Linked DNA regions of Cricetulus griseus. The protein of the gene in region 4 purifies or fractionates together with the protein of the main gene of each other region. This does not show direct contact. Links are inferred from orthologs where the notes say so. Each region holds a gene or a part of one and is shown on either strand. Other genes may lie near its edges.

Region 1 (4,202 bases), on a different chromosome or scaffold from region 4:
CTGCTGTTCAAGCAAGTTACTTCATTGCCTTACTTTTGCTGTTTCAAAGAGGGAACAAGTAATCCATTTATCAAAGTTCTTCTAGAAACATAAAATTGTATGCATGAGTGTCCAACCCAGAAGACAATTTATTATTGCAGCTGGGCCAAATTAAGGACATGTGAGGTCAAGGAGGAGCTGGCTGCACTGGGAAGGAATATACACTGGCCACCTAGAGCTAGGGTCAGAGATAAGAGTCAGAGGCCATCTAAAGTCATGTGTGAAAGACCTGGAGCCACTCCTGGCACCCGGAGCTCTAGCATGGTCAGCAGGGAGAAATAAATTCAACGGAGAAAGAATAAGACTCTGAAGAGGCAAAGAAAGGGAGGGGCATATCCACAAGGGCCCCAGCTGAGTCCTCTGCTGTCACAAACACCTGCTGCTTGCTCACCTATCTTCCCCAGAGTGTCTTCCCTCCTCTCTCCCCCACCTTGCTCTCCCAGGGTTAAAACTCCAGGGTACAAGCTGATCCACATAGCTGCCACAATGGGAAAAAAACTCCTCTTTCCCACTGTCATTTCTACTCTGAGCTCCTCACCTAGTCTATCTCCTAACTCAAACTCCAACTTCTTGGGCAACAGTAGCCTAGGAAGTCTCCCCAACCTTATCCAGGCTCAGGAGGGATTGGGGGGTGGGGGTGGCGTTTTAAGTCCCACAAGACTTATGTGTCACTAAAGCAACAAGGCCAACTCAGAGACTATGGAGACCCAAGCTCTAACCTCCATCAGTTCTAAACCATAAGTATTTCTGTAGGAAGAAGCAATGGAGAAAAGTACAAATTCACTCCCTTTTACATGTTCCCTGCCCAGGATGCAAGCCATTTCCCAGGGCCAATTCTCTCACCTCTTTCCAGCCTTCAGACTGTAACTGGAGATAGTCCCAGCAGGTGGCAGCTGGCATTGCACGGACCGAGGTGGGGGTGGGGGGCAAGGGTACCAACTAGAGGAAGAAAGGGGAGTCCTCCTAGCACTTTACCCCCTTACTGAATTCTGTACATTCTGGGTTTAACAAAGCCCTTAGTTCTGCCCAGATGAATTGCTAGGTCCCTCTTCAGTTCGGCTGCGTCAGGTGGGGAGACCTGGGCTACTCTCCCACTCAACCTCACAGCAGAGTGGGTCGGTGGAGTACAAACCAATGGGGACTTAGGAAACACCTGCGAACTGGCCTCTCCCAACCACCTCCCTCGGGCGTGCAAGTGACTTGGAGGTCATCCGATAGCCACCTGGAGCAGACAGCGGGCCAAGCAGAGAGGTTTAGCGCCGATGAAGATCCTTCACTCAGCTGCCAGGCCTCTGGTGCTGCCATCTCACAACCCCCTTTTCCCTCTGTTCCCCAAAAACAAAAAGAAGGGGCTTAACAGGAAGAGGGTGAACAGACCCGAGTCGGGTGGGGGCTCCACTGCCCTTTGCCCAAGGCCTGCTGCGCAGAGCAAAGCCAAGGGGCCAGAGCCTGGCCGGGGGCGATTAGGTTGCGGCCAAGCTGGGCAACGGGCTGCATTAAGTGCCTGCCATCTGCCAGGGACTGGCGCGGGAAGCAAGCCCGGGGTTTCGGGTAGGGGACAAGAAGTACATTAAAAAAACTGGAGGGTAAACTGAGGCGAGTGGTGCTTCTTTCACTTTCATCGGCTAAGAACTCACGGCAGGGCCTTGGCCAGGCCCTTTTGGATCTGCGGCGCTGCACATCGGGGGCCAGGACTCCCCGGCAGTGGGGAGTGGCACGAGGGGAGTGGAGACACAAGAGGGGGCGGTCCCTGAATGACTCTAAGCTCTGCAGCCAGGTCAGACCCAACTCGAACCTGGTCCCCTTCCCCTCTGCGCACCGCGCAGCCTGCCCCGGCTCCGACCCTCAGAGGCTCTCCCGAGACCCCAGCGATTGCAAGGCGCGCAGCGGGCTCGGGGCGCCAGCGTGAGTCCCGCAGGGGCCCGGACGCTGACCCGCACCCGGTCGGGATGTAGGCTCCGCTATGGCTGGGCCCAATTCCCCCGCCCCCACCGCCCGGCACGGACACCATTTTAGGTCGCGACATCCCGCAGCCTCCAGTCCCCCGGCCGCACTCCGATGGCCTCTCGGTCTAGGAGAGCCAGGACTTAGGGGTCCCGGACCCCCCTCGCACGTTACCAGGCTAGGGGCAGTGCTTTCAACAGACTTGAGTTCCCACAGCGGTCCTCGAGGATGCAGGCTGCGACCCCGACAGGCAAGCAGCCGCCCCAGGGGGCGGCGCGGGGAAGGGGGTAGTTGACCAAGTGGGGGAGGGGCAGGGGCATTTACCCGCCCCCCCGGGGGGCGGAGCCAAGGGCGGGTGTTTGCGGCGAGCACGCTTACTTGTTCCGATCCTAGTGCGGGCAGAGACCCCGCGGCCTCACCCGGTCCCAGCCACCACCGCCGCGCCGCCGCTGCGCCCGCCGCCGCCGCCGCCGCCCCCCGCGGCCGCCACTACTTCCTGCTTCTCTCCGCTTCGGCCTCCCCTCTCCCTCAGCTCCCTCCGCGCCCCGGGACCGGGCTGCCCGCTTTCATACTCGCCATTGGCCAACGGCCCCGTCCATCGGCTCTGAGCCCCGCCCACTCCCGCACGGGGTTGGCCCTCCATACCCAGCTCGGAACTGGCCCCTCATCGTCTCCTCACCGCGATTGGTCGAAGGGGCTGGGCTCTGTGGAGACGCCTCTCCTCATTGGCCACTCCGGAGTCCACCTGCCCCATCTGCGTAGCTCGGCGGCCATTGGCCACCGCCGCTGTCGCTTAAGCCAGAGCCTGCCTTCGTCTCCGCTTTGGGACGCCGGCGGTGACCAGCCCAGAAGCGTGGCCGTCCCCGCTCTGTCGGCCGCTGGGCCGCGTGTGTGCGAACTTAGGGACTCGAGCGGTGTGGAGCCTCAGGGAATCTCGTCAGCCCCGAGTGGAACCCGGCTGTCTCAAGCGTTCGTGACGTTTCTTCAGGCTAAGCCGCGACCTCGAGGACGCGGTGTAGGGTTCACAAAATGGGGCGCCACCCCCAAACATTACGTCATCGGGGTGACCCTTCCCCTCGCGGTCCTCGCGGTGTCTGAACTGCGGTATGGTCCGGGTGGATGAGGTCCTCGCCTGGGCCAGCCTCCGGGCGTGCGGCTCCTCCCCCTCCCTCCGGGAGAGCCGCACGGGCCGCGGGATTCCGAGTGTCGGGCAAACCGGAACCCGGGACCCGGGACCTGGGACGCGCTGCGGACCGGAAGTGGGGGAGGTGACGTTGGGAGTGCTGGCGTGGCCTGGGCCACAGCCAAAGAGCTTAAGGTAGTGTGCTGATAGGCCCCTCAGACGGGAGAAGGCGGGAGCCCGCCTCTGTTTCCCCGCCCCCGGCACGAGCTGGCGTTCCTGTTGAGGTTGAGCTTTCCCGCGCTTTGCCGCCCCGCCCCCTGGAGGCGGGGAAGGGGGCGGGGTTGCCGGGGAGATGAATCGCCTTGACACTCTCCCATCTGCACGCTTTCGCGGGATCCATCTGCAAGCCCAGTGTGCCACCTGGCGCGCGCTCTACCGCCTGGCCGCGCGCCGCCGCCGCCCGCCGCGAACGCAGCCGCTCCAGACGGCAAGGGCTTTTAAAGATTGTGTGTTATTTTAACCCGCGTCCTCACCCTTTCCGTGCGAGCAACCCACCAACTTTGCGACGTGTCAAGTTTTGTGTTTGTTGTAGCGATACCGAGGAATGAACCTAGAGAGTCGCACACGCTAGGCAAATGCACTAAACGCTGAATCGATACCCTGTCTCTCATTTTTTGAGATCGGCTTTTCAGCAAGGTTGTCCTGCCTGCCTAGTAACTGGGGCTACACTGCTGCGCCACCAGGCCCAGAGTTTTGGTAAAGCTTTTAAAAGGAGGCACAACCTTCCCTTGTGCCTCCTAGCATTGGTCTCAGAAATCTCAGGCGCCGCCTGGGAGCTTGTGACTATTAAGGCTACAACGGGAATCTTGGAACCACCACATTCCACATGATGGCATTAGGCAAGTCTTTCTACCTCCCTGAACCTATTGTCTCATGAAAAAATAAAAATGGAAATTATAATATCCACCTGCCAAGATTAGTTTTGCAAGGATGAAAAGCTTGGAATGCAGAGGTCCTATTTATAAAATAATAACAAGCAGATGAATGGAGCCTCCACCTCACCGGCCATCTTTCTCTGCAGGGGCCACAGCTCACA
Region 2 (3,500 bases), on a different chromosome or scaffold from region 4:
GAGGTTCCTGGGAATGTAAGAGGTTTGCCAAGACAGACTAGCTAGTATTAATTAGTGTATTTTATTCAAACCTAATGAATCCTTAAGACAGGACTGTGCTGACTCAGCAGGGAATTTTATCATAAGACAACCCCTTGGGTTTACATTGCCGCACTACCAAACAGGCAGAGTGCTTCGGTTAAGGTCCCTTTGGACACTGTGTCACAAAAGTCCACTGGGTAAGGTCACCTTCCCCGCCTTCTGATTAGCTCTACTCTGAAAATTCCCAGGGATTTCAACGTTGTGTTTTCAGGGTGGCATGATATAAATGGCAGCAGACAAGAACAATGTTTAAAAAAAAAAAAACAAAGGCTGTACACAAGAACTTATGTTTATTGCAAACAAACAAAAAGAGAGAGCGAGGGGAAAGAGAGGATGGTGAGAGGAGCGAACGTGTAAGGTTAAGAATTGAAAAGCGTCTTACATTCTGCCCTAATGGCAGCATAATTAATAGCAACAAACGGCCGTCTCGCTGCCTGCCGCAGCCTCAGGGTGTTTTTGCAGACCTGACGAGCAATTTTCGTGAAATACGTAGTATGGAGGAAGAAAGCTTGGCGGGTCTTCACTGCGGACTTGGGACTCCCAGTGTTCCGGACCGGCATGCCCTGCATGGCCTGCCGGGACAGGTGGCTTCTCACACGTGGGTCCTGCAATGTGGAAAACATCGGGATTTACAGAGGGGAACTTGATGGAGCACACGGCTACTCCCGCCTCGGAAGCACTGTATCTCAACAACTGCAGCCCCATCCCAGGGAGAAGCACTGCATCTCAACAATCGCAGCCCCATCCCAGGAAAAAGCAGCGTGTGTGAGCATTTGTAAAGAACGTGGGGAGTACAACATGGCAGGGTGGCGCGCAATCCCAGCCCACAAGCACTATCAGTGAGATGCTGCTGGGTTTTACTGTGAGGAGTCCAGAGCTGGCTGGCTTCAGACAGAGACTAGCCTCACTCTGGTAGACACTGGCACTTGACATCCTGAGTCTATGAGGATGACCACGGTCATCCTTCAATTACTGTTCACCCAAGATGGGGCTCTTCTTGTCCCTCCACAACAGCGGAGGGAAGAGAATGTTTAATTCCTGTTTGTTGTTTTATGTAAAAACATGTTTCCAACAGTACCTAAAGGTTACAAATTGTTTTTAAAAACAAGACTATTTGTAAGCTCTCCACTCAGGCAAGCGCCTCCCACACACATTATTCTTTTGTTTGAATAATCTCAAGAGACCAATATTTTGAATACCTGAAAAAAGAAAAATCCGACTGGTCTCCCTCTGTTTCCATGTTCACACCCACCCTAAGTATGCAGTGCTGTGTTTAACTCTAAAACTCAGCTCTGTTCATTTGTAAATTGTTCTGTATAGCATCCCTGCTTCCAAGAAGAAGCCAGTAACGGGGAAATGTGACGTCTTCGCCCCACAAAGAGTGCACTTGCGTACCTCTGCAGAAGGACTGGGAGACTTCTGTTCTTCTGACTGTGTGGGCATTTTGAGACCTCCATACTTTTTCCAATACAGCCAACAGGTCGCACACAGTCTACACTGCATATTAGGTGGGCCCCAGGAATACCACTGGTGAGACTGTGTGGCTAAAGACAGGGGGAAAGAGATACTATGAAAGTCGTGGTCTCAATACACTGAAACCTTGGAGGCACCCTGAAGCCACAGCCAGTTTACAGTGTTCCCAAGGCTGTCGGCTAAGCGTGGAAGCACAGCACACACACAAGCATTTTTCAGCACTCTGGACACATTGAGTTTCTGCCACACATCAGTGTTTGTCTCGTCTATTAAGAGACGCTATTGGATGACACATCCTGATTTATGCTTAGGCTGCTGAGATTTTGTTTTGTTAATTAAAAGTGATTTCATTATGTACATGTCTAGAAATAAGTCTTCCGAAGGATATTATGGCTATTAAGCTCCTTGGTAGTGTTTAAAATCTGAACTGTATGGTTCAGGAGCTCTTGCCAAGATGGCTAAATTACTCAAGAGGGGACTTACTGGTTAAGTCAGGAACCAGATAAAACTAGAAATCCATCTGTAGTTCCTTTACTCAGGAAACAAAAACCTTATTAGAATTTCTCCCTGAAGACTGTAAGTCCCCATCAGCTGAGCAAGCACCTTCGGCTGATATGGTATCATGGTTGGTAAGGCCTGACCCCAGCAGACTGACTGCTTGGCTGGACACACGGCCTGTGTCAGGTTCTGCAGCTTAACCCTGTCGCAAAACACCAAAAGCTTCCCATGGCAGAGGCAGAGAGAGGCAGAAACAGTGGTGGTGAAAGGTAGTTAAAACCGAAGGTAGAGACTATGATGCTAACTCTGCCAGTGGTCCTCCCCTTTGCTGTAAGTTACCTCCATGTGGGCAAAGCCGCCAGAGAGCACAGGAGGGTGCCAACTAAGGAACACCTCACAAACAACAGGAAAAGGGGAAAGGCTGAGCTGGAATATGGCTCGATGGCACGCAAAGGCCCTAGGTCTGGTCCCTACTGCCACCCACCCAAAAGAGAGAGAAAATATAGTGGCTATTACATTTAATTGCCTTTATAGAATTCAGAATAATTTACACATTCATTGTGTGCCACTCTTTTTTTGTTTGTTTTTTGAGATAGGATTTCTCTGTGTCGCCCTGGCTGTCCTGGAACACTCTCTGACCAGGCTGGTCTTGCTCACAGAGATCCATCTGCCTCTGCCTCCTGAGTGCTGGGATTAAAGGTGTGTGCCGCTGCCACCACCACCCAGGTGTCATATACTACTCTTGGAAAAATGCTTTTTTTTTTTTTTTTTTTTTTTTTTTTGGTTTTTAGAGACAGGGTTTCTCTGTGTAGCTTTGGAGCCTATCCTGGCACTCACTCTGGAGACCAGGCTGGCCTCAAACTCACAGAGACCTGCCTCTGCCTCCCTGAGTGCTGGGATTAAAGGCATGCACCACCAACACCCGGCTGGAAAAATGCTTTTAAAGAGAAGCCTAACCCCCTTTTCTCTTTTAACTTAAACAATAATGTTGACTTTTTAAGACAGATTTTATCAAAACATTTTAATTACATGTATGTGTATATGAGTGCAAATACCCTTGGAGACCAAAAAGTGTTGGACACCCTGGAGCTAAGGTTACATACAGGTGGTCATAAGACACTTAAGACGGGTGCTGGGAACCAAAAAGGTCCTCTCAAAGACCCGTGTGTGCTCTTAACCACCCAGCCATCTCTCCAGCCCCCAAATTAACTTTGTTTCAATATAAATAAGGACACCTGAGGTCATCCCCCTAGCCTACACAAATGTACACGCACATATATACATCCACCTGCACACACATGTGTAACGATTTGTCGTTACACATGTGTACTCACTTAGGAACATGCACATAAAGAAGAAATGTCATTGTGCTGTGGTGGCACATTCTAAATTCTCAGGAGGCTGAACCAGGAGGATAGTGAGTTAGAGGCCACACTGGGCTTCACAGG
Region 3 (3,500 bases), on a different chromosome or scaffold from region 4:
AGGGGTGTCGCGCGGCATGCCATGGGCGTAGGATCTCACGGCACAAGCGCCGGGCAATGCGTGTCAGCTTGGTAGTGTGCAGGTAGAAGGCCTGCCTTGTCTTCATGGCAAACTTGGGGCTCCCACTGCTCCGGGCTGGGATGCCGTGGGGACTCTGTGGAGCGGAGCACACCACCCCAACACAGCACCGTGACTAGAGGCCAAGGGCCTGAGGCCTACCTGCGGCAGGCGACAAGCATGGCATGCCGCACTTACCATGTTATTGCGATTTGGTCCCGGCCTCTCTCCATCTAGCCGGGTTGGCATTTTCAAGCCACCGTATTTCTTCCAATATGTCCAGCAAGAAGCGCAGAGGCGACACTGCATGTTAGGGGGACCCCAAGAATACCACTGGTAAGACTGTGTGGCTACGGACAACAAAGTTGGAGATAGACGGATTCTTAAGCAGAACCAACGGTGCAGAGAGCATCCCACAGTGTCCCCACCGCCACCACACTCATCCCACCCACCCCCGCCACCCCCTTAGCCCCACCCCCACCCCCGGCAGCACCACTGCAGCGAGTCATTCCAGGTCTGGGCACAGGGGCCTTCAGAGGTCCCATGAGCACCACAGCCACGAAGTAGCATTCCCGTGGCCCCTGCTGCCCAGGGTGGGTGCCAGGCACAGCACTTACTGTAACAGCTCTCGCAGGCCCGGCCAGCCCCGGGGCTCTGGCCTGGTGTCCCTGTGCCATTCACTACACTGGCCTTGACACTGTTGGCGCTGATCTGGTTTGGATTTGGCTTGTTACTGATGGAGGAGAAGGATCAGTCACAGGTGCCCTGCAGTGTCTGTATCCCAGCAGACATCCCTGTCCCCTTGGTTCACTGTGTCTTCGCTGCCACACCCCATGCCCCAATATGCTGAGCACTAAACCCAGCTTGACTCCTAGGCCAAAGGAACTCGAGTCCTGACCCCTCCTCCCAAGCTAAGCAAGCTCATGAAAAGGGTGATGGAGGTTCTTTGACTTAGCTCAGGAGGCCGCCTGACCCCAGTGGATCCTAAGAGCCCCACAGTCACTGCCCATCCACCAATGGCCCCCAGGAACATAGGAATGGACTTACTAGTTGGGAATATAAACCTGCTTTAACTTGCTCTCCGCTTCAGCTGCTTTCAAACGTTTCTTAAAACAAAACAGAGGGTTATGAAGGTCACCAGGCTGGCCAGGGCAGCTAGAAGACCACAGGGAGGGGAACATCATTGTTTCTCCATCACTGGCTCCCCTGGGAAAGACTCGAGAAAATTTTGCATGGCTCTCTCTGGCCATCCTAGGGCCAGGAAGTGGAGGCTTCAGGTGGCTAGGGTTCAGGAATGTCCCTTCCTCCTGTCTGTGCATCCTCTAGAGACCATGGCTTCTTCCTCTTTGCTCCAGGGTTAGGGGGAGGTCTTTGGGAACAAATTAATGTGACTACACAGAGACTGTGGGGAGGGACGAGGTAGGTTGTGGGGAGGGCCCACCTGCTGGACGTATCTGTCGGTCGTCTTCCACATGTAGTAATATTCAATGATGCTGGTGAGCGATTTCCAGGGGAGCTGGGGTGAGACAAGGCATCATGGGTGGTAGGAACTGGACTACTGCCCAGATAGGGAGCAGGGTGGCAAGGGCAGTGCTGGGAGGTCAATTCTGGTCCCCCTCCTTCAGTGCTAACCACAGGAGTGTGTGGCTGACCTTCCCCTCAACACCCACGCTAGAGTCATTTCCATTATGTCTGAGTCTGGGACCTGAGCAAGACGACAAGAACTTGGTTCTGTCCTTACCAAGGACCAGAGACGAAGAGGACAAGATGGGCAGACCCCGTTGCCTGCCCTTCTGCCTCCCGCCAGGAGACAACGTAGCACAAGGTCTCTTGCCAAAGGCAGACTGGACCATGGACTGATGGGTGTCACGAGCTACCCATTCTCAGGTGCACAAGGGGGCCCACCCAGGAGGAGAGACCCCTTGCAGCAGTCGGGCTGCCCTTCACCTTAGCTGGAAAGACATATTTGCTGCTTCTCTGGGTTAGTTGTCCTCCACCTTCGTATTTAGCTCAGTGTTGAGGGGCTGGAGTGGCTTTTATCTTTCAGCACATAGCAGTGTATAGAGCCCCTTCACCTTGCCCTCCCTCCAGTGCTGCCTAAGCCTCAGGCCAAATGACTGAAGTTTAGTCTTCACACCTCAAGCTGCTGTTTAAAATGGCACTTTTTTTTTTTTTTTTTTTTTTTTTTTTTTTTTTTTGAGACAGGGTTTCTCTGTGTAGCTTTGAAGCCTGTCCTGGCACTCGCTCTGGAGACCAGGCTGGCCTCGAACTCACAGAGATCCGCCTGCCTCTACCTCCCAAGTGCTGGGATTAAAGGCATGCGCCACCAATGCCAGGCTAAAATGGCACTTTTAATTAAAAAGGGCTCAACAGGTTGTTTTTCTGGCAGTGTTAGGGATCAAACCCTGGGCCTTGCCTATACAAGGCCAGCATCCTACCTACCACTGAGCTATGCCTCAAGGCTAGGGCTTCAGTCTTTAAGGCTGGCATGATGGTTAGAAATGTCACCTGAAAACTTTGTTTCTTTAATATCTATCAGCTTGATCTACACGAACCATTTCCTGAGAGCAGACCCACGACAGCACCGGGTGACACAGAAGGTGGGCTTGTCTGTTCTGTGCAGAATCCTGTTTCTGTACTTGGTTCACTTGGCCCTCTAGCCAGCAGGCCTTGCCCTCTAGCAGGTGGCTCTGCAGCCCTTTCTTCTGGGTCTCTGACAGACTCAGTTTACCTGCTGAACTGCATCTAGGAACGTGCAGATTCTGCAGGGCTGTCCCCCACTGTAGCAGCCACGCCCAGCCCCCCTCAAACATTGCCAGCTCTGTTCCACTGTTGTTTTCTTTCTGTCCCGTTCTTCTCATTCTACTTTTTGTCTAAAAAGCTTGTACTTTTTTTTCAAATCCAGTTACATGCCAGGCTGTCCAGCAGAGACTGTGGGTTCTGTGGGCCATGGGAGTGACCAGCACCTGGGCCTCCCAGAGACAGACACTCCCTCAGCCCTTCTGCCTATGCCTGAGTAAGCACCCTGCACGCTCCTGGCTCTCCCACCCTGGCCTAGGCTTGCTACTGGGTTTGTTTGTGGGTTTGTAGCAGGTTCTCACTATTTCCCAGGCTGGTCTCAAACTCATAATCCTGCCTGAGTCTCCTGAATGCTGGGGTTATCGGCATTGTTTGACGGTACTCCAGTGGGTAACATATTCCACTCACTACATCCTGGATGCTAGTAACCCTATCTCCTCAAGGCTGTGGGGAAGGTGGCCCAGCTGCCTCAGCTCATACAGACATGATCCCACTCTTCAGTCCTTTGGGGAGCTGGGGGGCTCTGAGGGCTTAGGCTCTATCATAGTAAAGACTTGGCTGGCACTGCACACAGGAGGGAGGGTCAGCTTAGTTAAGAACAAAACAGAAACGAGTCCAAGCAGCCGGGAAGTCTTGAGGGTGCC
Region 4 (3,500 bases):
AGTGCCAGGATAGGCTCCAAAGCTACACAGAGAAACCCTGTCTCGAAAAAAAAAAAAAAAAAAAAAAGAGTGGGTCATTTTCCCAAGGTCCCACAGATAACAGTTCCTGTGCCCTGTGCTGAATGCTTGCCTACCGCTAATACACGCCTCTGACTGCACCTTCGTTTCAGACCTCATGTTTTCATGGTTGTTGGACCCTGGGGAGTCCAATACTGTTCCCCAGCAACTTTGCTGACCAACTGCCTGTGTCTTGGCTCTTCATGGCTCTTGCCCTTCCTGAGTTTTTCTTTGATGTGTCCAGGCCATTGCACTGGAGTGAAGGCAGTATGAAGAATTGACATGGTTTTCATTCTTTTGGGTTTATTTGTTCTTATTTGCCTACTGCCTGAGCTGGAAGCATACATGTACCTTGTGTGTGTGTGTGACACCTGCTATTCTGTCTCCTTTGATGAGCATAGACAGGTGTAGTTTTCTCTTGCCCCTTGGCAGCGGAAGGACAATGCATTCACATGAGCACCTGAGGCTCTGCAGGCGCACAGGGGGCCAGCTAGAAGGCTGGGCTCCAGGTTATCTGGACACCTGCCTCCACTTAAGGGGTGCAGCAGATTCCACCCTTGCCTGTCTGCTGCTTGCTGCTCGCAGATCCCACAGAGGGTGGTTCCCATGCTGTGTGCACAGAGCCACTACCTTGAGGCCTATGAGAAATTTTTTGGTTGTGACTTGGGTAGAGAATTCTAATTAAAACAAAACAAAAAGACAATGCATACAGGTAAGCCAGTGCTGCCCAGATGGTTAAGTATAAGGGAAGATATACATGGGCCGAGCAGTGGCTGCCATGCTAAGGCTCTGGCCTTCTGGAGCCCTAGACACAGGCAGAAGCCTGCCTGTTCACACTTGGGTGGAGTGCTGGGTCAGGAGCCTAGGCTTCTTGTTTGGTACCCAGTAGATTTAATTTGTGCGTAGACAAGGGCTTCTCTGGGCCCTTATTTTAATGGCTCCCCCATCTCCTCATCAGTCAGTGCTGCAGACTTGACATAAACCTGGCAGTCCGTAGGTCTGTCCTGTCCCTGCTTTTCTTGGATCTTGATTGTACCCCCATGCCCCCTTTCTAGCTGTCCCCATTAAGATGGGGATGCCACTTGAAGGGTGGGAGTGTGTATCCCTCCTGTCTTTCTTGCATAGCTAAGCTGTGCTGGTTTCTTTTTGTCCTTAGGCATAAATGAGATCTCAGAAGATGTTTACACAGCCGTGGAGCACAGTGATTCGGAGGATTCCGAAAAGTCAGAAAGCAGCGACAGTGAGTATGTCAGCGATGAGGAACAAAAGCCCAAGAATGAGCCAGAGGAACCTGAAGACAAAGAGGGGAGTCGGGTGGACAAAGAGGCCCCCGGTATAAAAAAAAAGCCAAAACCTGCAAACCCGGTAGAAGTCAAAGAGGAAGTGAAAAGTAACTCTCCAGCCAGTGAGAAGGCAGACCCTACACCCGCCAAGGACAAGGCAAGCCCGGAGCCTGAGAAGGACTCAGTAGAGAAAGCAAAGCCATCTCCTCACCCCACAAAGGACAAACTGAAGGGAAAAGATGACACGGATTCCCCCACAGTGCATTTGGGCTTGGACTCCGATTCAGAGAGTGAACTTGTCATAGATTTAGGAGAAGATCCTTCTGGGCGGGAGGGTCGCAAAAACAAGAAGGAGCCCAAGGTGCCCTCACCTAAGCAGGACGGTAAGCTACACACACAGCCTGTAGACTGTAAATTTTGTTTGGTGTTGATCAGACTCAGGACCTTGTGCTCTACCACTGAGCTATTACACCTGGTATTTGTGCGATTGCCAAGCCCAGTGTGACAGGGAGTGTCTCGGCCCCCAGCTTCTACAGTGGGAGCCATGGCCTGCACATGGGCCTGCTTGATCCTCAGCACAGAAAAGTTCCACGGTCACTGGTAGCTGCTTCTTATAAAGTTGATTTTGGCCTTAGGTCTGCCTGCTTAAGGTTTTACGTGGTTGAATTGGACCTGGAATTATATAGCCAAGGATGGCTTTGGATTCTCCCACCTCTACCTCCCTTGTGACAGACCACTATATACATACACACACACACAACTGAGCTACATGCCCCCTCCAGTAAACTTCCTTTTTAATATTCAGACATTTGGGTGGGGCTCAGGGATCAAGGGCTCTCTGAGTAGAAAGATCTAGAGGAAGCTTCCCCTTCTCTTGTGCCCTGCACGGGCAGATATATTTTCCTACTAGAAGTAGAATCCATTAGGGGTTGTGGGGCATTGAAAATGGAAGAGACCTTGGTCAGCACCCTCTGGGCAAGATAGTCTGTCCTATGTGCATTGAATGTACCTGAACCAATTCTTTGTCCCTTTCAGTGAAAGTGGTCTAGGTGCAACTCTGGCCTTTAGCCACTAGATGGCAGGAGCACTTGCCTATCAAACATGCCTGTCCCTTTTAGGCAAAGCCTTCCGCCCTGAGGATCACCTGAATCTTTTCAGGCTTGTTGCTATTGTGATGAGCAGTCTGGGCCAGCACCGTCGGCAGTGGGCATGCTGGCGACTTCCCCAGAAGGAGTTGAGTAACAGCAAGTTTTTGGCTGGCCAGAGGACTCCAACGTCATTCAGCTAGGGCCCTGGAATGACTTAAGTACATGGTACAGGGTAGCCTTCAAGCTGGGTGTACTTGGTGAGGTACAGAGGGGTGTCATTTTGCACTGTGCTTAGTTTCTAACAGGAGCCAACTTCTCATCGTAACCCAGGAGTAAGGTATGACCATGTCCCCCACATTCTTGTAGCCTGGTGGCCTAAGGCAAGTCTTTGCTGTGCCCTGAGAGCCTTTTCCCTGTGGGGTGCCCACCTGAGGAGTCTGGAACCTCAGCTCTTAATCGAGACAGATTTCTGTGACCAAGGAAGAAGAAATGAGATACCTGTGCTGGGGAGGGGGTGAGGTGGAGAGGGCAGGGGATGTTCAAGCTGCCGCTTAGGCCAGTTGAAGGCATCAGAGTGCCGCCTGGGGTAGAATGGAGGTAGAGAAGTGCACACACCTGTAACTTCCTCCGTGTGAGGCTCACACTCCTGTGATGCTTAGAATCTCCCATTCTTTCTGATAGAGGCTTTTTGTGCTTGTGTGTGTGTGTGTGTGTGTGTGTGTGGGCCGAAGGATAACTCATGTCATTATTCATGGTGGCAACTTTCTTTACCCACTGAGTCACCTTGCCAGCCCCCAAACACATCTTGATTGACTTACTGTTTGCTCTGGCTTTGGGGAAATGTTTTATATACAAATAAATACTAAGGTAGGCATGATAATGCACTTGGAGGTAGAGACCAGTGAATAAGGAGCTCAAGGTCAGCCTCGGCTTCTTCAGACCCTGTCTCAAACAGAACAGACCAAAGAAAACCCAGACTGTCCCAACTTCGGGGCAATCACAGACAAGAGTTTCCATTGCAGTTGTGAGCTTCTTAGCAGGGAAAGCAAAAAGAGAAGCATGGTTCCTTAAC
Region 5 (4,127 bases), on a different chromosome or scaffold from region 4:
ACACACACACACACACACCACATTCTGGCTTTTCTGATCATGGTCTCCCCACCCGGCTTCCAGCCCCAGCCCCAACATGTAACAACAGGCCTTGCTCTGCAGACCAGGCACTTCCCACCTCCAAACTCATACCCTGCCTTGGGCGTGTTACCAGGGGAAACACCTGCAGGAACAAGTCTAGTCCTCAGATCCTGGGGAGGGGGGAAAGGGGAAGGAATGAAGACACTCACTAGCATTACTGTCAGCCAGGCTGTTGAGGCTACTAGAAATATCCCTTCTCCTGAAGAGACAGACAACCTTTGCTTCCACATTGCCATTGGCAGTCTAAAGAAGGAAGAAAAACAGGGCAATGAAAATTAGCCATTTGAAAGTGGAGGTACACTAACAGGCACTCTCTAAGGACTTAAGTAGAAGAGGCCAAAAACTCAGCAATGAAGACTTAATATTCAAAGATAATTACAGGACCAATGAGATGGGTCTCCATAAGTTTGCTAACCTGATCACACAGAAAGTTCCAGGCAACCAAGGCTGCAAAATAGACACTGTATATTTAAAAAAACAAAAAAAAAACAACAGAGACAGGATTCTTTTATCCCCAGATGTGAGAATGATAAAGCTTCAGCTAAGCTCTCAGCAGCTCTATACATGGAATGAACGCTCGCTCACCTGTATAGGCTCTAAGCCTAGGTAAGGCTGGCTCTCCCTTCCACTTGGAGTTAGACTCCAGAAGAAAGAAACTGCTCCATTTCTGCTCCACTCACCTTGTTTAGCTCCTCAATCCGTCTAACCAGGTAAGGATTGCTAGAGGAGTTCTCAAAATAGACGTAATCTGTAGAAGGGGGTGGGGAGAAACAAGATCAGAAGAAAACCAGAGCACCCAGAAGAGAAAGTGGATTTGGGTGGACCAAAAAAAGACAAAATGCTAGGTAGAGATGTGGAGATGTGCAAGAGGAAAGACTTAAGAAAAGAAGTATAGCTGGGTGTTGGTGATGCACGCCTTTAATCCCAGCAGAAGCAGGTGGATCTCTGTGAGTTCGAGACCAGCCTGGTCTACAAAAGCGAGTTCCAGGATAGGCTCCAAAGCTACACAGAGAAAAACCTGTCTCGAAAAACCAAAAAAAAAAAAAAAAAAAAGAAAAGAAAATAGGTATTAGAGAAGGTGGTGGCGCATGCATTTAACCCCAGCACTCAGGAGGCAGAGGCAGGTGGTTCCCTGTTGAGTTTGAGACCAGCCTGGTCTACAGAGTTAGTTCCAGGACAGCCTCCAAAGCCGCAGAGAAACTCTGTCTCGAACCCCACCCCCCATCCCCCCACCCCCGCAAAAGAAAAGTATTAGTTGGGCAGTGGTGGCCAACAGCACTCAGGAAGCCGAGGTAAGCAGATCTCTTCCAGTTCGAGGACAGCCTGGTCTATAGAGCAATTTCCAGGACAGCCAAGGATAGACAGAGAAAGCCTGTCTCGAGAAAACAAAAGAAAATAAGTATCAACCGTCTCGAGGAAAAAAAAAAAAAAAAGAACGAGAAAAGAAATAAAAGAATTATCCAGACAGTGATTGCTCACACCTTTAATCCCAGCAGAGGGAGGCAGAGGCAGGTGGATCTGAGTCCGATGCCAACCTGGTCTATTTCCTGAGTTCTAAGACAGCCGGGGGGGGGGGGCGGGGGGGGAGGGAGAAAAGTTTTTACTCCCACCCTTGCAACACTTAGCGCTAAAATCAGATTCTCACTCAAAAGTCAGATCCTAGCACTCAAGAGGATCTCTGAGTTCGAAGCCAGCCTGGTCTACAGAGTGCGTTCCAGGACTGCCAGAGCTACAGAGAATCCCTGTCTCGAAAAACCAAAGAGACAGACAGACAGAGTCGAAAAACCAAGAAGTGAGAGAGGAGGGGGAAAAAGATAACAAGGATTTCCCTGTAGTCCACACAACTCTGCATTGGAGTTGCACCCCTGCGTGGGAGAATTGAGTAAATTGTTCCCCCCACCTCAGGCCTCACCTTCGTGAACGAACAAGCCGCCAAAGAAAAGAAAACCCCTGAGCGACTGGCTCCCCGCAGCTGGCCCCGCAGTCACTCAGTCCCCTTCCAAACCAAGCCTACTTCCCACCCCGGGATCCAGTCGCAGACTCAAGAGCACCGATCGTTGTAGGTAAGCCTCTGCGGGAGACTCGGCTCCCAGTAGCGTCGCCGCCGCGGAACCATAGGTCTCGGTTCCGGTTCCGGTCGGCGCTGTGGCCCCTACGACCCCAGATGTTGCTCCCCGCGCCTGCGGACACCGAGTCTCCCTGGTCCCGTCCCCAACCTCTTCCGCCCGGTGTACTCACCTCCCACACGGTACATGTTAGCCGCCATGGCCGTTCCCGCCGCGGCCTCCGGCCGCACAAAGAGGACCCGGAGGCTCGCGGGGGTAAAGCTTAGCTCCAGACGATGCCCCCAGCGTGGGGCTGACGCTTCGCGGAAGTGTCGATGGGGCCCGCGCAGCCGGCACCTCTGCTCGCTCAGCCGTCGCGGTTCATCACTGCTCGCACGAAGACCACGACGACACTGCTATAGCCTCACGCCCGGGATACCCAGGCCGGCGCCGGTCTGCTCGGCTTCTTCCGGAACGAGCTCGGTTCCTGCCTGACCGGAGACAGATTCCGGCTCCTAGCGTCTTCACCGAGTCCCAGCAGACGCCGTATGGTGCCAGCCCCTGAGAAGGTTTGCCCTGCCCGCGTCCGGGTTCGCCTCCTTCCGGAACACCTTCGGCCGATCCGGAGAACAAGGCCCAGCGCTCGGCTCAGGTCGGAGAGCAAGACCCCGCAGATCGGCCACTTCCGGAAGGAACTCGGCTCTTTTCGCTCAGCCGCGGCCCCGCGCTCGGTTATTTCCGTTGCAGCTCGACCCCGCCCCCGAGGGCGGCAGGGAGCCGCATTTAACTCTTTACTCTATGTGTCCCTGCAGCTCCGACAGTGGCCTCGCAAGGCGCGCGCGCACCCTCGCGCTTCTTGAGGTTATTTGCAAGCCGCTTTGCCTGTTATTTGCATATTTGGTCCGAGCTCCTTTTTTCCCTTCCCGCCCTGCACTTTTTTCTTTCATCCCAACCCTACCGGGCCCCTGAGGCAACCGCCGCACTCCACAAAAGCACCAAGCGGTGACTTTCTTTCTTTTTATTGCCCCTCACCAGGCAAAGGGAGTCAGAGCTGGGGTTGCCTGGTTCAGCCAGCGAGTCGTTATCGTGTGTGCAATGGGGCGGTTCGCCCCTCCAGGAAAATGCGCAACTGGGAATGTACTGAAATCAAAGAAAAAGCCAGCCCAGGAAAAGGGCTGCACTTGGTCCTAGGGGTTTTGGCCAGGGCGGGGCAAGGCCACAGTACCAGAGGGACAAAACCATCCAGCATTCATCACACGTCCAGGGAGGAGGCAGGGGACAGAGAGGGAGTTCTAGAAGGCGTGACAGGAGAGGGCCCAGAGCCCCCAGCGCCCAACACTCGCCACTGAAAGATACTGGCGTCCTTGCCACCTAGGGAGACGAGGTATGAGTCGTCATGCGTGAACCGGACGCTAGTCACGTGACTGCCGTGGCCTGAGTACATACGGCTTGGCGCCTGCACCAGAAAAAAATGTACAGTCACAGCAGTGATAGGGTCCCAAGACTACCCACTGGGGCCCAACGGTCCTCTAAAGACTCACCTTGGCTCGAGCGCACGGATACTGGAAAAGGTGTACTTTGCAGAAGTCGTCTGCTACAGCCACCACACGTTCATTGTGGGAGCGGCAAAGGGAGTTGATGTCTGTCCCATCAGAGCCATCAGGCCACACACCTAACACAACAGGTAGCCTCAGCCAGGGCACTTTCCACAACCTAGAGCTGCAGTGCTTAGGATTTCCAGGCTACCTCCAGACAATCCTCTCCATTCCCAAAGGGACCTGTTGGCCTGGATTTGCCTCTCCCCCCCCCCCCGCCATGACACATGACACACACCCAACATTCTGATCCAAGAATGGGTTCCACCTTCTTTTCCCAGCCCTGCTAAAGGGCTCGGCTGCATGCTGGCTTCACTACTTACCATACACGTGGAAGCCTAGCACACAGGTGTAGGTAGCCCACTCCCGGTCTCTGCTCTCATAGCGATTCCTTAGAAGCTTGCAG
Region 6 (4,144 bases), on a different chromosome or scaffold from region 4:
CCACATCAACCTGACTGGCAAGTAGTGCCCTCCTCTCCCCTCTCCAACACTCACCGATGGGAAGCATTGGCTGGTTCTCACAGTACACACGAGGACAGTAGCCAAAGTCTCCCTGCTGGTACTTTTCCAACTGAGGTGTGCAAAATGGAAGGGACTGGTGAGTACGTGTGCAGAGCACCTCACTTCCCCACCTCCCAGGCCTCCCACCTCTAACTAGAAGCCCTTCTTTGTCAAGACAGGTCCTCAAGCTTCCTTCTCAACTGCTTTCCTCAAGTTGGCAGGCTGCAGAACACAAGGGCCATTTGCTCTCTCTGTTCCCTATCCATGGCCTCATCTCCCTCCCTGAAAACAATACCTTCAGTAGGACCCTCAGTGAGGATTGGATTCTCAGCCCAGCTCTGGGCTTCTCCTCGTCTCCTCTGCTAGACTTCTTGACAGGTACGAAACATGCCTTCTGCCTCATGCACCTGTTTGTCTCACTGCCTCAGAAGCAGGAGCAGAGCCTCACCATTTGGGCGATGCCTCGGTTGGTGAGGATGTATCGGGCGTGGATCAACCCATAAAGCATCTCCGCTGCCTGTTCAATCAGGTCACTCTGGTTGGGGTTGTCTTCCAGCTCTTCATCTGAAAGGTGGGATGGCCACTTGTACCCCACCTTATCCCCAAGGTGGCCTCCTACAGTTTATCCAGCACCTGTTTCTGACACACCCTATCCATCACCCAGGCCATCAGCACTGCCCTCTCTCCACACCTCTCTAGTCTCTGCCAGCTTCTTCCCCTTCCCAACACATAAACATAATTGCAGAGGGTGGCACTCTAGACCAGCAGGAGGAAAGCAGCAGCACACAACACACCAGAAGACTGGCATTGTGAGAGACAGTGGAGTTACATTTGGAGAGCATGGAAACAAATGTTACCAGTCCCTGAAGGCAAGGGTCAGGTAGGGAATCAAAATAATGAAGAAGCCAGGCAGTGGTGTATGTGCCATACAAAACCCAGCACGTGGAGGCCAAGGCAGGAAGAGCAAGTGGTAAAGTCCAGTTTGGGTTATGAATGGAGAGGAGAGGTGGGGGAGAAAACACATAAACAAACAAACAAGCGAGCAAGAGACTCGGGAATAGACAGAAGAGCTAGAGAATCAAAAGGAAATTTAGAAATTCAAGAAGCGGTTGGGCAGTGGTGGCACATGCATTTAACACCAGCACTCGGGAGGTAGAGGCAGGTGAATCTCTGTGAGTTCAAGGCCAGAGAAACCCTTCTGGAAAAACCGAAAAAGAAAAGAGAAAAATTCAAGAAGCAAGCGAGCAGAGACCAGAATAAGAAGAAACCAAAGCACACACAAGTGCACATATCATGGACCCCACACGCAGCGACGGCCCTGGGGGCAGGCACGTTACCAGGCTCCAGGTCCAAGATCATGTCTAGAGCTTGCCGGTAGTGAGGCACTTGCTCATTGAGTCCAGTCAGATTAAACTTGTCCTGGATGTAGTCCTCATCCACCTACCGGGACAGGGGAGTCAAGAGGTTGAAACTAGTGTGGGAAGCCCCGTCTTTCACCTGGCCCAGGAGACAAACGACCGCATCGGCTCCCCTTGTTTCCTATTCTCACTTCTGCAGAGGTGTTCCGTCTCCCACAGAAACCGCAGCTCTCTTCTTTCCGGGCCAACAAGGTACAGCGCATTATTCAACTTGTCTCCCTCCTCTAAAGGACCCGGGTTTGCTCTCTGCTCTGGGACATCAGACTCTCACAGGCATTGATCATTTCCTACGTTACCACACTGTGGTTTTCATGTTACATGAAACATTTTAACTTTCCTGACGGTCACCAGCGATACCTCTGTTAGCCATGCACAGAGTGAACCCCAGCGCTCAGGAGACTGAGGCACTAGGATTGCCAGGAGTTCAAGGACAGTCTGGGCTACACAGTCAGCTTCGGGGGAAATCTCATCTCAGACAACATACAACGAAAACACCGAGGGCACGTGGAGAGGGCCCAGAAAGCCAGCTAAACTCACCTCACAGAAGAACTCATTACCACGGAGCCCACAGAACCAGGAAATCCAGGAAACCTCCTCAGAGCTACTCATCTTTACGTCGGCTGAGGAAGAAGGGCGTTAAGTGGAGACCAGGCTGTTTCTTGGTCTCTTCCCTCCTCCCACACACACGGTCTCCTCAACGGCGGAGGAATCCGAGGCCACTGGCGTTGAGTGGCCCCGGCCCGTGAAGCACCGCTCTCCACGCCTCTCTTCTTTACCTCAGCCCCCCGACAGCGTGGTGAGAACCAGCTCCACTCCTTCCCAGGGGGTGACAGGTCCCGATCTGTGGGTGTTGCCCGGCGCGAGGCCAGGCCCCGGCCCCCCGGCCCCCCGGCCCCCGGCCGCGCGCGGCCCGCGCGGCCCCACCGAGGCACTCGCCTGGCGCCCGTCCCGAGGCTTCCCGAGTCCATCCTCCCCCCCGAGCCCGCCTCTCGGGGCCTCGCGGCGCCGGCGGGAGCCCCGCACCCCCGCGGGACCCACGAGCGTCCCCACAGCCGCTCCTCTCCTCAGGCCACCCGGCCTCCTTCGGCCGCCGACCCGGTCCCTTCCTTCCTCGCCCCCACATCTCGGAGCGCGGAGCCCGGCGCCGCGGCGCGGGGACGAGCGCAGACTCACCGGCCGGACGGGGACTGGGACTGGGGCGGGGAAGGGGAGCCGAGCTTCGAAGGAACCGCAGCGACCGCTACAGCGCAGGAAGCCGAGCGGACCGCGGCAGGCGAAGTGGGGAGGGGGGAAGGGGAACTGGGGAGGGTGGGGAGGGAGAGAGGGCAACGCGCAGGCGCCGAGGACCGCCCCTGCCCCTAGGGACGCCGGGAAATGGAGTCCCGTAGAGAGGCAGAAAGTGACGCGATGCGGGGACGGCGAACCACCAATCCCAAGAGTCCGCGCGCATGACTCCGGGGTCGCGAGGCCCTAGCGGAAGCCGCCTGGGGGCGGGGCGAGCCGAGCCTCCACCGGAAGCGGAAGCCAGGTTACAGCCGCCTTCCCGACCGGGAAGCCTGGGAAATATAGTCCTACGCGCTTTGGGCTCGGCAGGCTGCGAGCCGGCGCCGGCGGCCGCTGAGGTCCCCGCTGCGCGCCCGCTCCGTCCCGCTCCGGTCGTCCCTGCCGCCCCGGGGACTGACACCGTCGCCGAGGACCAGGCATGCGGCCCGGAGGTGCGGCTCGGAGTGCGGGGCTGAGGTCGCAGGGCTTGGGCTGCCGAGCCGGGCGGCGGGGGCGGGGGACCTGCTGCACCGCCCCGCGCGCTAACCTGAGGTGGCGCCTGCCATTCTGCCGCTCATCCCTTTGCACTTCTCCATGTGTTGCTGCTGCTTGCTGCTGCTGCTGCTGTTGCTGCTGCTGCTGCTGCTGCGGACCCCACGTGAGCTGCTTGCTCTTCGAGCCCTGCTCGGAGTAGCGGTGAGGGGCGCCGTGGTGTTAGCGCGTCTCGCGGCTGCCCGGCATCCCGCGGCTCCCTGGCGTCCTCAGGCCTCCCGGCTCCACAAGAGGGGCTTGGAGCGGGAGGGACCACGTCGAGGGTGGCGAAGAGCATTGTGGGGGCGTTATGTAAAAGTAGGACCCCAACCGACAGGTCCCCCTGGGCCCTCGCGCTGTCTGGGCACGCGATGCCTGACGCGGATGCTTGGGAAGGTTCCAGCGCGGGAAACTGAACCTTGTGGGTGTTTTGTTGTGGTTGGCTGCTGCGCATGCGTCTCTGTGCCAGGTGGGTGTCGGATTGTGTCAACTCTTGCAGATGACGAGAGCGCCATTTTTCGGTACGGAAGTGACAGTGCAACGCTTTTACCCCGACACCTTCTGGAATGATGTCACGCCTGTTTTTCTTTGGGAAAAGGAGACACCCCCCCCCAGCCCCACGTAAGATCGAGCAAGATTTAAAAGTCCCGGCCGATATTCCCTAACGGTATGTGTTACAGGGTGGGAAAAGGTTTTCAGAGACAGCCTGCTGTTTTTGTTTGAAGGGAGAAGGGAGTAGAACGCAGGGCCCCTAGACAAGTGCCTGGGGGAACATTCTTTCCTATTATCATTTTTTTTTTCTTTCCTGTTGTAGAGATAGAACCCAGACCTCCCAAATTCGAGGCGAGCATTCTACAAAGAACCTAATCTAC
Region 7 (3,500 bases), on a different chromosome or scaffold from region 4:
ATCCACATAGTAGAAGCAGAAAACTGAATCTGCCAAGTTATCCTCTGACCTTGTAATAGCCATAGCAGGGACACTTCACCACAAACATAAGATTTTTTTTTTAAAGTTTCAGTTTTTATTTTTCCTTTAAGTTTTGAAAAACTGCTATCACCACTTACTCAAGACTAATATGTAAGTAGGTTTCTCTTCCACCCTCAGTCCTCAAGTATTAATGGTCGGCAGTTTTAAAAATAGAACTCACCAGAAATGTATTCCTAGCCTGCCCCTGTAATTACCTTCATGTCATAGCCATATGTCTCTCGAATATCTTCATCAGAATCCGTTTCCTCATCATCATAGTCCATTGTTTGGCGGGGGGAAGATGATACACTGCTCGCCACCCGGTTAAAAGCTGATTGCTGGAAGCTAGGTAAATGTCCCTAAACAACAAAAATGAACAGACAAACAGATTAAACAAACAGGTAATTAATACATGTTTAACATCAATAAAATATAACTAACTTACTTAAAAAGCAGCTAAAAGAAAATAAATAATGCTATAGTCTACCTGAATATTTTCAGATAGTATTTCACTGAAATGACCTGAAGAAAAGTAAGGCCATGTATGCAGAAGGAAGAAAATGTTATGGATCATATAACTGCTGGCCAATTATAGCCAATTTTCTACCTAAGTAAACAAGTTAAATCCGTTTAATTTACTAGTCAAAAACTGAGAAATACTACTACATGAAACACAAGAAAGTAAATTAGAAGCTGACCTGTAAGTCTGGATTAGCAGCTGCTTTTTGGAGCTCTGCACTGATAATCTTTTCAGTTTTTTCTCGAGCTGCTTGTTCCACCATACGTTGACTTAACACAGAGAGTTTGGCCAGGGCAGAGGACAGTTCATCTGTGGCTAAGGCTTGCCGTGCTCTATCTTGCCAACTCATGGCACGTTCTGTCAAACACTGAAGTGCCTCTCCTTCAGGCAACCGTACAGGCAACTTCTGAAGGGATACCAGCAATGACAGAATAGTCTCTAGCCTGGGCCTTCGAGATCTCATGCAAAGAGGGCAAAGGAATTTTACGTCTTTAGCTTGCCAGCTGGATCCCTTTTTCTGGGAACTTGATTTAGGAAGGGGAACACAACTATTATGAAACCAGTCTTTGCAGAGCTCACACTGTAGCATAAACCCACTGGCTGTCTTCCGGCAAATACAAAATTTTACTTCTTCTATGCGGTCCCCAATTGTCATCTTGGCCAAGTTGGCTGCTCTGAGGGAATGCATGGCCTCAATCTCCTTTTGCTCCCGTTCTTTGAAAACTGCCACCTGTATACAACAAGCATTTAATTAAGGAGAGTAATTTGAAAAACCCACAAAGTATCCAAGAACGCCAATGGCAATTTCCTGAAATGTGGGTTACCCTTCCAGTTTCCACATAAAGATTTCTCATCTGTAAAATGACAAACTGCTATAATATTTGACATTTTATATGAGAGTACTCTCTGTAGGGCACAGGACAAAGAGGGTATTTCTTCAGATCAAGCACTTGCACCAAGCACCTGGTACCAAGGTACCAGGAATCCAAGTCTGGCTCTTGGACTTAAAGACTATTGAAAGAATAGAAAAAGAAAAATAAACCCTTTGGGGAAGAGAACAAACAGCAAACTTTTAATACTAACACACACACACACACACACACACACACACACACACACACACACACACACCCATAAATAACACAGGTAAATAAACAGTTAAAAACCTACTACTAACATCTTTCACAGAGCTTTGCATTCACAAACAAATTCAAGGCCCATCACTTAGTTCCTTACCACCATGGCTGTATCTCTGGTCTCCTCCAGTCCTTCCTCTAAGTCACTCAAAGGCTCAAGGTCTAGGTCCTTTTCCTTTTCTTTTTCTATTATTTCTTTTACTTTTTTCCTCCTGTTTTTACCACTCCCATATACACCAATGTCAGTTCGGGGACTTAGCACCTGCAAAATTGAAAAAAATATAACTCTAGTTAAAAACAAACAAAACAAAACAAATTAAAACCCTTGAGAGTGAAAGTGACCATGAATGAATCATTCACCATGTACAAAGTAACTATTTATTCTCATATTTTAGAAGCAGGATCTTATTTTGTAGTGCAGGCTGCCCTACAATTTGTGGTGAACCTCTCACCTCAGCCACACCAGGGATCCATGTATGTTATCTGTTTATATTTTCATAACAACTGTACATAGCAGGCATTATTTTCCAGATTTTATTGATAAGAGAGACAAGGGATAATTTGTCCAAGGATAAAGGTTGAAATTCCAAAGTCTGTCATCTTTAACTATTGTGTTCAACTGCTCAGGATAAAAAGAATTAAGTTGGGCTGGAGAGATGGCTCAGCGGTTAAGAGCACTGACTGTTCTTCCAGAGGTCCCAAGTTCAATTCCCCACAACTGGTGGCTTACAACCACCTGGAATGAGATCTGGTGCCCTCTGCTGGCATGCAGGCAGAAGACTATATACATAATAAATAAATAGAATCTTAAAAAAGAAAAAAAAAAAAAAGGATTAAGTTTATGTCTCTGAGGGATAAAACATTTTAGTAGAGTCTATTAACAGAGGTTAAGATATATGCTGGTTGCTATTTCTGGATACAAGCACAGATTAATGAGACAAAAAAGAAAAAAAAAAAAAGAACTTGCTTAAGACTTCAGGTTTCAATTCAACACCTAATACTACCTAATTCTATAATTAATAGAAATTAATTATAATAATGACTAAATTAACTGAAAAGAATCTTCACCAACACCACTACAGGTAGGGATTTGTCAACTGCTATGAGAGCGCTGCAGACCACACATATGCATTATTCTTCACCTGTAACAATGTATGGCTGGAATTCTTCTTAAGGAAGGTCCGCCCAGTCCGTTCTCTCCAGGCCCTTGCTGCTGCGACCTGTGATTCCACTTGAGGCAAAGCATCAAGACGAACAGGGATAGGGCGTCCTTTAGCAGATAAGCTCTCAAGCTGCTCCAAATAAGCATAGTTGCTGCCACTCTGGAAAAAGTAGATTCACACACAATTTTAATTCTTTCATGGAGTCTGGCAATGAATGTACTGTTGGGGAAACTTGGTTTAATATTAACTTTTTTTTTTTTTTTTTAATACTAAGCATGGAATAGATCCCAAGTCTCGTACACCAGGCAGGCACTGTACCACTAAGGGACATCTTTAGTCATAGCGCTAAATTTTGTGCTAAACCAACAATTGTTCACCTTAATGAATTTAATTCCAAATTTTACAGAAAAAAAGTTTATAAAAATTAATTTAAGCCGGGCATTGGTGGCGCACGCCTTTAATCCCAACACTAGGGAGGCAGAGGCAGGCGGATCTCTGAGTTCAAGGCCAGCCTGGTCTCCAGAGTGAGTTCCAGGATAGGCTCCAAAGCTACACAGAGAAACCCTGTCTCGAAAAACCAAAATAAATAAATAAATAAATAAATAAATAAATAAATAAATA

Evidence for each region.
Region 1: the proteins of Zmynd8 (region 4) and Znf687 purify together in Homo sapiens (affinity purification with mass spectrometry; 4 studies listed by BioGRID and IntAct, with this or other methods). This does not show direct contact. The link is inferred for Cricetulus griseus from reciprocal best matches to the Homo sapiens genes ZMYND8 and ZNF687.
Region 2: the proteins of Zmynd8 (region 4) and Mta3 purify together in Homo sapiens (affinity purification with mass spectrometry, with the first as the bait; 3 studies listed by BioGRID). This does not show direct contact. The link is inferred for Cricetulus griseus from reciprocal best matches to the Homo sapiens genes ZMYND8 and MTA3.
Region 3: the proteins of Zmynd8 (region 4) and Mta1 purify together in Homo sapiens (affinity purification with mass spectrometry; 3 studies listed by BioGRID and IntAct, with this or other methods). This does not show direct contact. The link is inferred for Cricetulus griseus from reciprocal best matches to the Homo sapiens genes ZMYND8 and MTA1.
Region 5: the proteins of Zmynd8 (region 4) and Mta2 purify together in Homo sapiens (affinity purification with mass spectrometry; 3 studies listed by BioGRID and IntAct, with this or other methods). This does not show direct contact. The link is inferred for Cricetulus griseus from reciprocal best matches to the Homo sapiens genes ZMYND8 and MTA2.
Region 6: the proteins of Zmynd8 (region 4) and Csnk2b purify together in Homo sapiens (affinity purification with mass spectrometry; 3 studies listed by BioGRID and IntAct, with this or other methods). This does not show direct contact. The link is inferred for Cricetulus griseus from reciprocal best matches to the Homo sapiens genes ZMYND8 and CSNK2B.
Region 7: the proteins of Zmynd8 (region 4) and Kdm5a purify together in Homo sapiens (affinity purification with mass spectrometry; 3 studies listed by BioGRID and IntAct, with this or other methods). This does not show direct contact. The link is inferred for Cricetulus griseus from reciprocal best matches to the Homo sapiens genes ZMYND8 and KDM5A.

The regions. Positions count from the first base shown.
Region 1 is NW_023276806.1:61,486,012-61,490,213, reverse strand, and holds the start of Znf687 (zinc finger protein 687), read right to left. Parts: upstream 2,801-4,202; 5' UTR 2,663-2,800; exon of another isoform or gene 2,629-2,662; intron 2,478-2,628; exon of another isoform or gene 2,362-2,477; intron 2,299-2,361; exon of another isoform or gene 2,158-2,298; intron 1,352-2,157; exon of another isoform or gene 883-1,351; intron 1-882. UniProt on the Homo sapiens protein: May be involved in transcriptional regulation.
Region 2 is NC_048598.1:85,409,490-85,412,989, reverse strand, and holds part of Mta3 (metastasis-associated protein MTA3), read right to left. Parts: intron 1,626-3,500; coding exon 1,477-1,625; intron 687-1,476; coding exon 464-686; coding exon of another isoform or gene 441-463; exon of another isoform or gene 353-440; intron 1-352. UniProt on the Homo sapiens protein: Acts as a component of the histone deacetylase NuRD complex which participates in the remodeling of chromatin.
Region 3 is NC_048598.1:180,921,368-180,924,867, forward strand, and holds part of Mta1 (metastasis-associated protein MTA1), read right to left. Parts: intron 1,574-3,500; coding exon 1,499-1,573; intron 1,164-1,498; coding exon 1,105-1,163; intron 791-1,104; coding exon 675-790; intron 408-674; coding exon 256-407; intron 155-255; coding exon 1-154. UniProt on the Homo sapiens protein: Transcriptional coregulator which can act as both a transcriptional corepressor and coactivator. Acts as a component of the histone deacetylase NuRD complex which participates in the remodeling of chromatin.
Region 4 is NC_048599.1:13,607,232-13,610,731, forward strand, and holds part of Zmynd8 (protein kinase C-binding protein 1), read left to right. Parts: intron 1-1,213; coding exon 1,214-1,723; intron 1,724-3,500. UniProt on the Homo sapiens protein: Chromatin reader that recognizes dual histone modifications such as histone H3.1 dimethylated at 'Lys-36' and histone H4 acetylated at 'Lys-16' (H3.1K36me2-H4K16ac) and histone H3 methylated at 'Lys-4' and histone H4 acetylated at 'Lys-14' (H3K4me1-H3K14ac).
Region 5 is NC_048596.1:51,152,048-51,156,174, forward strand, and holds the start of Mta2 (metastasis-associated protein MTA2), read right to left. Parts: upstream 2,801-4,127; 5' UTR 2,348-2,800; coding exon 2,320-2,347; intron 2,047-2,319; exon of another isoform or gene 1,994-2,046; intron 830-1,993; coding exon 762-829; intron 325-761; coding exon 231-324; intron 1-230. Other genes in the region: Eml3 (echinoderm microtubule-associated protein-like 3), read right to left, coding at 3,379-3,582, 3,668-3,798, 4,045-4,127. UniProt on the Homo sapiens protein: May function as a transcriptional coregulator. Acts as a component of the histone deacetylase NuRD complex which participates in the remodeling of chromatin.
Region 6 is NW_023276806.1:231,642,975-231,647,118, forward strand, and holds the start of Csnk2b (casein kinase II subunit beta), read right to left. Parts: upstream 2,801-4,144; 5' UTR 2,652-2,800; intron 2,099-2,651; 5' UTR 2,088-2,098; coding exon 2,016-2,087; intron 1,501-2,015; coding exon 1,398-1,500; intron 625-1,397; coding exon 509-624; intron 131-508; coding exon 55-130; intron 1-54. UniProt on the Homo sapiens protein: Regulatory subunit of casein kinase II/CK2.
Region 7 is NC_048601.1:24,449,586-24,453,085, forward strand, and holds part of Kdm5a (lysine-specific demethylase 5A), read right to left. Parts: intron 3,039-3,500; coding exon 2,859-3,038; intron 1,979-2,858; coding exon 1,817-1,978; intron 1,311-1,816; coding exon 759-1,310; intron 420-758; coding exon 276-419; intron 1-275. UniProt on the Homo sapiens protein: Histone demethylase that specifically demethylates 'Lys-4' of histone H3, thereby playing a central role in histone code. Does not demethylate histone H3 'Lys-9', H3 'Lys-27', H3 'Lys-36', H3 'Lys-79' or H4 'Lys-20'.